2 linked regions of the Cricetulus griseus genome follow. The protein of the gene in region 1 interacts with the protein of each later gene in a biochemical or structural test. Links are inferred from orthologs where the notes say so. Each region holds a gene or a part of one and is shown in the gene's direction. Other genes may lie near its edges. The genes, in order: Plxnd1 and Sema4a.

Region 1 (3,808 bases):
CAGGGGCCTTCTCAGATGTGGTAACTGTGAACGCCTCCAAGGAGGGCAGGTCTCGGGAACACTTCTCCTATGTGGTAAGTAGACTACCACCACCCACCATCCAGCTCACTCCTTATAACCTGAAGCCAGAGCCTAACCCCTTTATTCTCCCCAGCTGCCCGTGGTCCACTCCCTGGAGCCTGCCCTGGGTCCAAAAGCAGGGGGCACCAGGATCACCATTCACGGCAGTGACCTCCACGTGGGCTCTATGCTCCAGGTCCTGGTGAATGACACAGACCCCTGCACCGACCTTATGTAAGCCACGCCCACAGCCTGGCAGCTGGGAGGTGGGCGAGTCCCTCCATAGGTCTCATCCGGGTATGCCCTGCTCTGGCCCTTCTTGACTTGGGGTAGATGTTGGAAGGAAGGAGATATGTCCAAGTTGGGTACAACCCGAGGCAGCGTGTGGCAGTGGGAAGAAGAAATTGGGCAGAAGTGGCAGAAGACAAGGCCGGGGCACCTGTGGTGGGTGAGAACTGGAAAGGGTCACACTCATGTCATCGGCTCATCACTCTCCATAGACGCACAGCCACCAGCATCACCTGCACTGTGCCTGGGGGTACCCTGCCGGCTCTAGTGCCTGTGTGTGTGCGCTTTGAGAGCCGGGGCTGCGTGCATGGAAACCTCACCTTCTGGTACATGCAGAACCCAGTCATCACAGCCATCCGCCCAGGCCGCAGCCCTGTCAGGTGAGATCCAGACCCACCCATGCCTACTCTGTCTCACTGTCCAGGCTGAAGGGAGCCTGACAAGTCTTGCTGTCCCCTCAGCGGTGGCAGAACCATCACTGTGGCTGGTGAACGTTTCCACATGGTACAGAATGTGTCAATGGCGGTACACCACATTGGCCGGGAGCCCACGGTGAGGGGACAGGGTGGATGGGGTGAGGGGTTGGGGGTGAGGTGGTCTGCTCTGCTTGGCCTCGCCATCTCCCCCTCTCTTTACCCGCATCCTCCCGTTTTCCACTCTCATGGGTCCATCCTACCCCAACCTTGCAGCTCTGCAAGGTTCTCAACTCCACGCTCATCACCTGCCCATCTCCTGGAGCCCTGAGCAATGCTTCAGCACTTGTAGACTTCTTCATCAATGGCCGGGCATATACAGACGATGCCGCTGAGGAGCTGCTGGACCCTGCAGAGGCACAGCGGGGCAGCCGGTTCCGTCTGGACTACCTCCCCAACCCACAGTTCTCCACAGCCAAGAGGGAGAAGTGGATCAAACATCACCCAGGGGAGCCACTCACCCTTGTCATCCATGTGAGCACCTGGCTGGGAGGATGGGTAATGGGGGCAGTTGACCTGGGAACTCCACCCCCATCCCAGCATCCCATCCTCACCCACAGAAGGAGCAAGACAGCCTCGGTCTTGAGAGCCATGAGTACCACATCAAGATTGGCCAGGTGTCCTGCGACATCCAGATCGTCTCAGACAGAGTTATCCACTGCTCAGTCAATGAGTCTCTGGGCACAGCTGAAGGGCAGCTGCCCATCACTGTGAGTTGTTGGGGCTCTGGAGGTGGGCAGACCCAGCTTCTGGGTACGGAAGTCACTAGGTGTTTCCATGTTCAATAATTTAAGCCAGCAAAGCAGAACTTTATACCCTGCCTTGACAGATGGGAAAACTGAGACCCAAGTTATTAGCCCCAGAAGCTATTAAAAAGTAGCTCCTGCTTGTTTGGGTGTCCCACCTAGAGTGTGGCCTGCGTAGTCATTGTGTAGTATCAGGGAGAAGAGCAAAGACAGTCTGAGGTGGGAGGTGCTTTCTGTTCTGCATCTTCATACCTCCTGCTGAGTCGCCCCTTACCTGTTCCCAGGACAACAGCCAGACCCCATGAGCTTCCCTGTGACCCCCCTCCTAGGCTGTCATCATCACAACCCTGTACTGAGTCGGTCTCTCTGCCAAACCCTGGATCACAGTTTGTCAGGCACAGTTTGATCAGGAGGTGGTTGTGGCTGTCTGTGAGGGGTAGAGTGATCAGGTCATGTGCCTGTGGGCACGCAGCTTGTGAGAAGAACCGAGGCATGGCTCCAGCAAGGGCTTTTGTGTCACCCCCTGCCACTCTGTGCACAGATCCAGGTGGGGAACTTCAACCAGACCATTGCCACACTGCAACTGGGAGGCAGCGAGACGGCCATTGTGGTGTCCATTGTCATTTGCAGTGTCCTGTTGCTACTCTCTGTGGTTGGTAAGTAGCCTTCACTTCTTGAGAGTCAGGAGCGTATATATGAATCCCTGTGAGAGTGGCAGTGGGTAAGGTGTGGGTATAATAATCAGGTATCCTGAGCTGGGGATAGGAAGAAAGTGGCAGATACTGGTTGGAGCTTCTGTGCTCAGGCCATTGGCTTTGGATGCAAGGGGAGGAATTTGGGGGCTTCTGGAGAGAGGTTGTTCAGGGGAGATGATCCTGTGTGTTTAAGCAATGTATGCAATGTGGCAGAGAGAGCAAAGCCCCGATACACTGCTGGGGGGACAAAGGTACACTTTCCTTAGGAAATGGCCTTTCGGTTCCTAAAAGTTGTTAGGCATAGATGGCCCAGTAATCTACACAAGAGAAAGGAAAACATGTCTACATAAAATCATGTACACAGATGTCTGTAGCAATATTACTTATAATAAGAGGTCATCAAATGATAAGTGGGTAATTAAAATGAGGTCTATCCATACAATGGAGTTTTCTACCATAAAAACGGAATGAAGTGCCAATACATTCCCACAACATGGATGGGCCTTGAAAACATGGAAAATTAAAAAGATAGACACAAAAGGCTACATACTGCCCTACTGTTTTTTACTTGAAGTATCCAGGAAGGGCAATGATTAGTGGTTGTCGGGAGAGGAAGGAAGTGGGGAGCAACCACTTACTGGGTGAGGGTAACCCTTGGACAGCAAGAACGTTGTAAAATTGGATAACGCTGATGGTCATGTGGTATGTGAGTAAGCTCCAACACCCTGACCTGTAAATGGATGGATTATGGTCTGTGTGTGTATTTGGAGGCCAGAGGTGTGGTACCTCAGCGGCTGTCACCTATATTTTGAGCCAGGATCTCTCACTGGGACCTGGAGCTCGCTGACTTCACCTGGCTTGCAGGCCAGTGAGCCCCAGGCGGCTACCTTTCTCTGCCTTCCCAGCCCTCAATTTCAGGCTCATGCCACCATGCCCTGCTTTTTATCTGAGTCCTGGGGTTCAAGCCTGGGTCCTCCTGTTTGCACAAGTGCCTTACCAAGTAAGGCATCACCCCAGCTCCCATGTTGGTTTGTTTTTAAATACTATGTCAAAGCTATGAGGGAAAACAGGAGGAAGATGAACACCCTGGATGTTTTTTTTGTTCCTAAAAATACTATCCATAAGATTTCTATAATCAATGGATACTTCATCCCTCCCAGGAAGAACAGGTACTGCATACCACTTTGAAAAGTTTAACTCACAAGGCACATCAGGGCAGAAAATTCTTTTGCCCAGAGAAAGCCCCTGATGACTGCTGTTAGACACATTCCTTCAAGGGTTACCCTGCTGGCTGGACCTCAAGCCCTGTGTTGTCAGGGAGGGACAAGGAGCAGAAGGGCTTGCCTCCTGCCCAGAGGCACTAAGGCCCATGGGTAGAACCTGTCCTTTCAGGCCCACAAGCTGCATACAGCAGGTACCCACCTTTTCATGAACCCTGGAGACCTGAACCGCCCCTCTGCTGCCCACAGCCCTGTTCGTCTTCTGCACCAAGAGCCGCCGTGCCGAGCGCTACTGGCAGAAGACGCTGCTGCAGATGGAGGAGATG
Region 2 (4,429 bases), on another chromosome or scaffold:
TGGGCAGGAGCCCAACCACTCTTTATTGGCCTAGGAGCCCTTGGTGCCTCATTAACCCTGCGTTATGAGGTCTTCCCTGAAGCCTTTAGGGAGGAAGAACCAGTCACCATTCCAGCTGGGTGCCTCAGCTCCAAAATGCATCCTATGAAGCATGAGCTCAAAGGGGAAATTCCTCAAGTTTCCCATTGGCCTGATGCTGTGGTAAGGGTGCGAGAGGTTAGACTGCAGGAGCTCCCTCAGAGAAGTCAGGGACACAAACCTATACAAACGTGGGCTTTTTGCTGTTGTTTATTTGTTTGTTTGTTTCTCTGTGCAGCCCTGGCTGTCCTGGAACTCACATTGTGGACCAGGTGGGCCTGGATCTCAGAGATCCACCTGCCTCTGCTTCCTGAGTGCTGAGATTAAAGGTGTGCGCCACCATGCCTGGCTCTAAATGTTTTATCTTTCAAGGATGTGGGAGGTTTGAAGGTTAGGCCCCTGTAGCTATTTCTCAGAAGGTGGCAATGGGGGAACCCCACTACAGAGTCAGCAAAAAGAGGAATATGAAAGACAGAGTCATACTGAGCTGTCTTGAGCAAGAGGAGAGACCGCAGCTTGGGCTGGTTAGAATGGAAGTGATGTGCTAGAGACACAGGGACATCACTGAAGTGGCTCAGAAGAAACCCTTAATTTCTGGATAGACTAAGTGGAGGGAGGGAGGTGTGTCTCCCACAAAGCCTGTGAGCCTCCCCCCCCCCATCTCCCCGCCCTGATCCACTGTTCACCAACTTCCGCCCAAGCCAGGATCTGTCACAACTCGAGGTAGAAATTCTGGTTTCCCTGGCCTGGAACCCACACTGGCTCTCGCAGGATGGGTGCCTGGAGGGCCGTGCTCCCATTCCAGCCGGGCTGAGCCTGCTTTCTTTGCCTGGACCCCCTCCTTTGCCTTGGATGCTTCAGGGTTTGAACACAGGACTTCTCAGTGTGGCTGGCTCAAGGGTATGTGAGATGATGAGGTGGGCAACTTGCACTCTGCAGTCACGGGGATGTTGATGCTGCAGAGATCCAGGGAGACAGAGAGCAGAGGCACAGAGACAAGGGAGGCCGTAGTGGTTGGGAGTCTGCCAGTGACTCCTGCCTAGGCCAACCCCAAGAAATGCAGTCAGCCAAGCTGGTAGATAACCTGGCATGCCCCTACCCTGAAGAAGAAGGCTAGATAGGCCCTATTAAGCCAGAGTCAGAGTCCCTGGGGGCTGGGGAAAGAGTAGGCTGCCTGCCAGGGTTGGGGTGAGTAGCAGGCACAAGGTGTAGGCACAGCTGAGTGACAGGCCAGCCTGGGGAATCTACCCTTTGAGTACAAGATCTCGTTCCCCAGAAGTCCTTTGTCCAGGGCCAGGAGTGATGAGGGCTCTGAACCATGGGGGCAGGAGATGCTAAGGGGCAAGAGAAGAAAGGGACTTTTCTGTGTGTCAGGTGAGAAATGACAATGTGGTCTTTTAGTAGGAGACCAGGGGCACAACATGAGTCACACCAGGGTCCCTACCTGGAGGGCAGGGGAGGCAACATCACTGCGAGGAGTGGAATGGAAGTGAGACTCTGAGGGCCCTTCCAGAGAGGAACTTCTGTCCCCCTGGGGCTCTCCTATTGGCCCTCAGGAAGGGTGTGGTAAGCACTGCTTACCCAGAAAGTGCCTGTTTCCCCAGAGCCATCTGGTGACAGTCTCTGTCTGACCATGGCCCTACCATCCCCGGGCCAGGACCCCTGGAGTCTCCTGGGTGTTTTTTTCTTCCAACTGCTCCTGCTGCTGTCACTGCCACCTGCTACCGGGACTGGTGGGCAGGGGCCCATGCCCAGAGTCAAATATCATGCAGGTAAGTGTCTGGTAACTGGGAGGTTTGGGTGTCAATGAAGAGACGAGGGGGTCAAGGAAGGAGAAGGGACTTTCAGAGGGAGGGCAATGGAATGGAGGGACAGAGATGCCCAGGAGGGTCTGGGAGGAGGAGAGACCATTCAAGTAAGGTACAAATTGATTAGGAAGAGAAGACAGGGCCACCGTTGCCCGTCTTCCGCTAAGCCAGTGATTTTTCTTTCCCTCGTCAAGTGTCACTGTCACCAAGCAGGACACCTTAAATTCCTGACTGCTTTCACAAGTTCCAGTTGTCCCAAAGCCAAAGCCCATGACAGATTGTTCACGGAGCTGGTGACTCCAAGCTAACTGCAGAAATCACAGCAGGCCAGATTGTGTCCAGTAGGATGGGCACCAGGGGAAGGCGCCCTGGACAGCTCACCTGGGAGTGGGCTGGAGCTTGGTGCTGAGCCTCAGTGGTTTTCTGCTGGGGCTTCTGAACCCTCTTGTTCTAGGAAATTGCCTCAAGGGAAGTGCTACACACACACACACACACACACACACACACACACACACACACACACACCGAACACCACCAGCGCAGAAGCTAGGCAGTTCTGTTCACCAGCTTAGCAGCCTTCTGAGGCAGAATGGCAAAGGATGTGTAGGTTCAGTGGAAAGAGGCATCCCCCTGTGGGATGGGAGTGCAAACACTACCAAGACTGGGCCTCAAGGGGAAGCCAGGATGAAGCCTCACCGTGGGGAGCACAGAGTTCAGGGCAGGGCATCCCACACCATGCCGAAACATTTGGTCTTCCAATTCCTCTTGGTCCTAAGATTCCTTGAGGCCAAAATGGTAACAACCAGGCTGTCCTCTGACTGACACAAAAGTCCAAACGTGCTGACGAGGGAGGGTCTGAAGCGCTCACTCCTGGCTGATGTGCAGGAGCTCGTGTCTGAGTGCACACACACCACCACACTAGGTAGGGAGTGGGCCCTAGTAACCAACATACTTAGCCTGTCCAGGTGGCATTCAGGCATGCCCACACTGACAGGGCTCCGATAGGGAGAGGCCATGGCCTTTCCAGTCACAGCATTGCTAGGGAGATTCCTGTAACAGAGCAAGGGGAGGAAACAGGGGAAGGGAGGTGGTGGGACTCTGAACTGTGACAAATCTTGAAGCAAAAGACATCTATCTCGGCTGCTTGTGGTTGAGAACTCTTTCCTGTGTCTACCTGTCAGTGTTCTCTCCCACCCTGTCTCCCTGCAGCGCCCCCAGGCCTGCGAATGTATCTCCGAACCTTACTTCATTTCCTGCCTGGGTCTTGAGCAGACTCCCCCCACCCCCACCTCCACCAGCCCCAGGCTGTCACTACCTTGTCTTTGGCACTTTTCTCTCTTGTGGGGACTCAACACACAAAGCTCCTGGGGGTTCAGGAAAAGGGGGCTTCGGGCATAAGAGCAGGTCCAGCTGCCGAGGCCTGCCACCCCTCCCCGACCTTGTCTCAGGAATCAGCGGCTGTGCACGGTTCCTCCTCATCCTCTCCTTATCACTGCCTCTCAACAGGAGATGGGCACAGAGCCCTCAGCTTCTTCCACCAAAAAGGCCTCCGAGACTTTGATACGCTGCTCCTCAGCGCCGATGGCAACACCCTCTATGTCGGGGCTCGAGAGGCCATCCTGGCCCTAAATATCCAGAACCCAGGAATCCCCAGGCTGAGGAACATGGTGAGGAGGCCAGACACAAAGGGTCTGACTGGAAGTGAGGACAGCTACTGCCTGGGACCAGTGCAGCGCTTCCTATCAGCAGTGTCAGGATGGAAAGCCGTTGTGCTCTCACTGTTTATGGAGGCCATGAATGCCGATTGAGTAGAATCGGCTGCTGAAATGGCTGATACGGAAATCAGTGGCATAGGAGAAAAACATTGACTCAAATCAGTGACTCAAATAATTTGATGTTCACCTACCTATGAGAGAAATCCTTGATTCTTGTGCTATCATCTCCCTAATGCTAGCAATGTGAGGGAAAGAGAAGGAAGGCATGGCTCATGGATTCTTAGTGGGAGGTCTCTTGGCTATCTGCACATGTGGGGTATGGGCTAAATTCCAGAGTCTTGCTTGGACTAGGAATGTAGTTCAGTGGCAGGGCACTTTGTCTAGAGGGTGGCAGGCCCTAAGTTTGATGTCTGCACCCCTCCTATGCAGCTTCTCTCAGGGGTGGCTCAAGAGCTGACAGCCTCCCCCAGGAAATGTGTGGGTTATAACCACTGCTGTGTATGCCAGACGCTTACACACGCCATCCATCAAGCTGCAACCACCAGCAGGCTGTGAAACTGAGTCAGAGTGCACAGTCCGCTGGTGGCAGAGCCTAGATTTGAACTCAGATCCATCTGGTTCTACCACAGAGCCACGTCCTGATGAACCCTAATAGTGTGGAAGTGATAGTCCTAATCGGCTGGCACCCCCACTGCCTACCAGAAGACCACTAACTGCCTTACTGGTGTTTTCACACCAGAGCTGGAGAGGGGAGGGATGGTGGCTTATAGAAAAACCCAAGACCTCATTGCCTTTCATCTACTCCTCTTAACTCTCCACTTCAGATAC

The links.
Region 2: the proteins of Plxnd1 (region 1) and Sema4a form a complex in vitro, tested with the Homo sapiens proteins (2 studies listed by IntAct, with this or other methods). The link is inferred for Cricetulus griseus from reciprocal best matches to the Homo sapiens genes PLXND1 and SEMA4A.

Annotation. Positions count from the first base shown.
Region 1 is NC_048601.1:28,898,603-28,902,410, forward strand, and holds part of Plxnd1 (plexin-D1), read left to right. Parts: coding exon 1-74; intron 75-154; coding exon 155-294; intron 295-560; coding exon 561-728; intron 729-809; coding exon 810-900; intron 901-1,037; coding exon 1,038-1,295; intron 1,296-1,381; coding exon 1,382-1,531; intron 1,532-2,108; coding exon 2,109-2,223; intron 2,224-3,731; coding exon 3,732-3,808. UniProt on the Homo sapiens protein: Cell surface receptor for SEMA4A and for class 3 semaphorins, such as SEMA3A, SEMA3C and SEMA3E. Plays an important role in cell-cell signaling, and in regulating the migration of a wide spectrum of cell types.
Region 2 is NW_023276806.1:66,051,494-66,055,922, forward strand, and holds the start of Sema4a (semaphorin-4A), read left to right. Parts: upstream 1-1,415; 5' UTR 1,416-1,711; coding exon 1,712-1,850; intron 1,851-3,392; coding exon 3,393-3,553; intron 3,554-4,425; coding exon 4,426-4,429. UniProt on the Homo sapiens protein: Cell surface receptor for PLXNB1, PLXNB2, PLXNB3 and PLXND1 that plays an important role in cell-cell signaling. Regulates glutamatergic and GABAergic synapse development.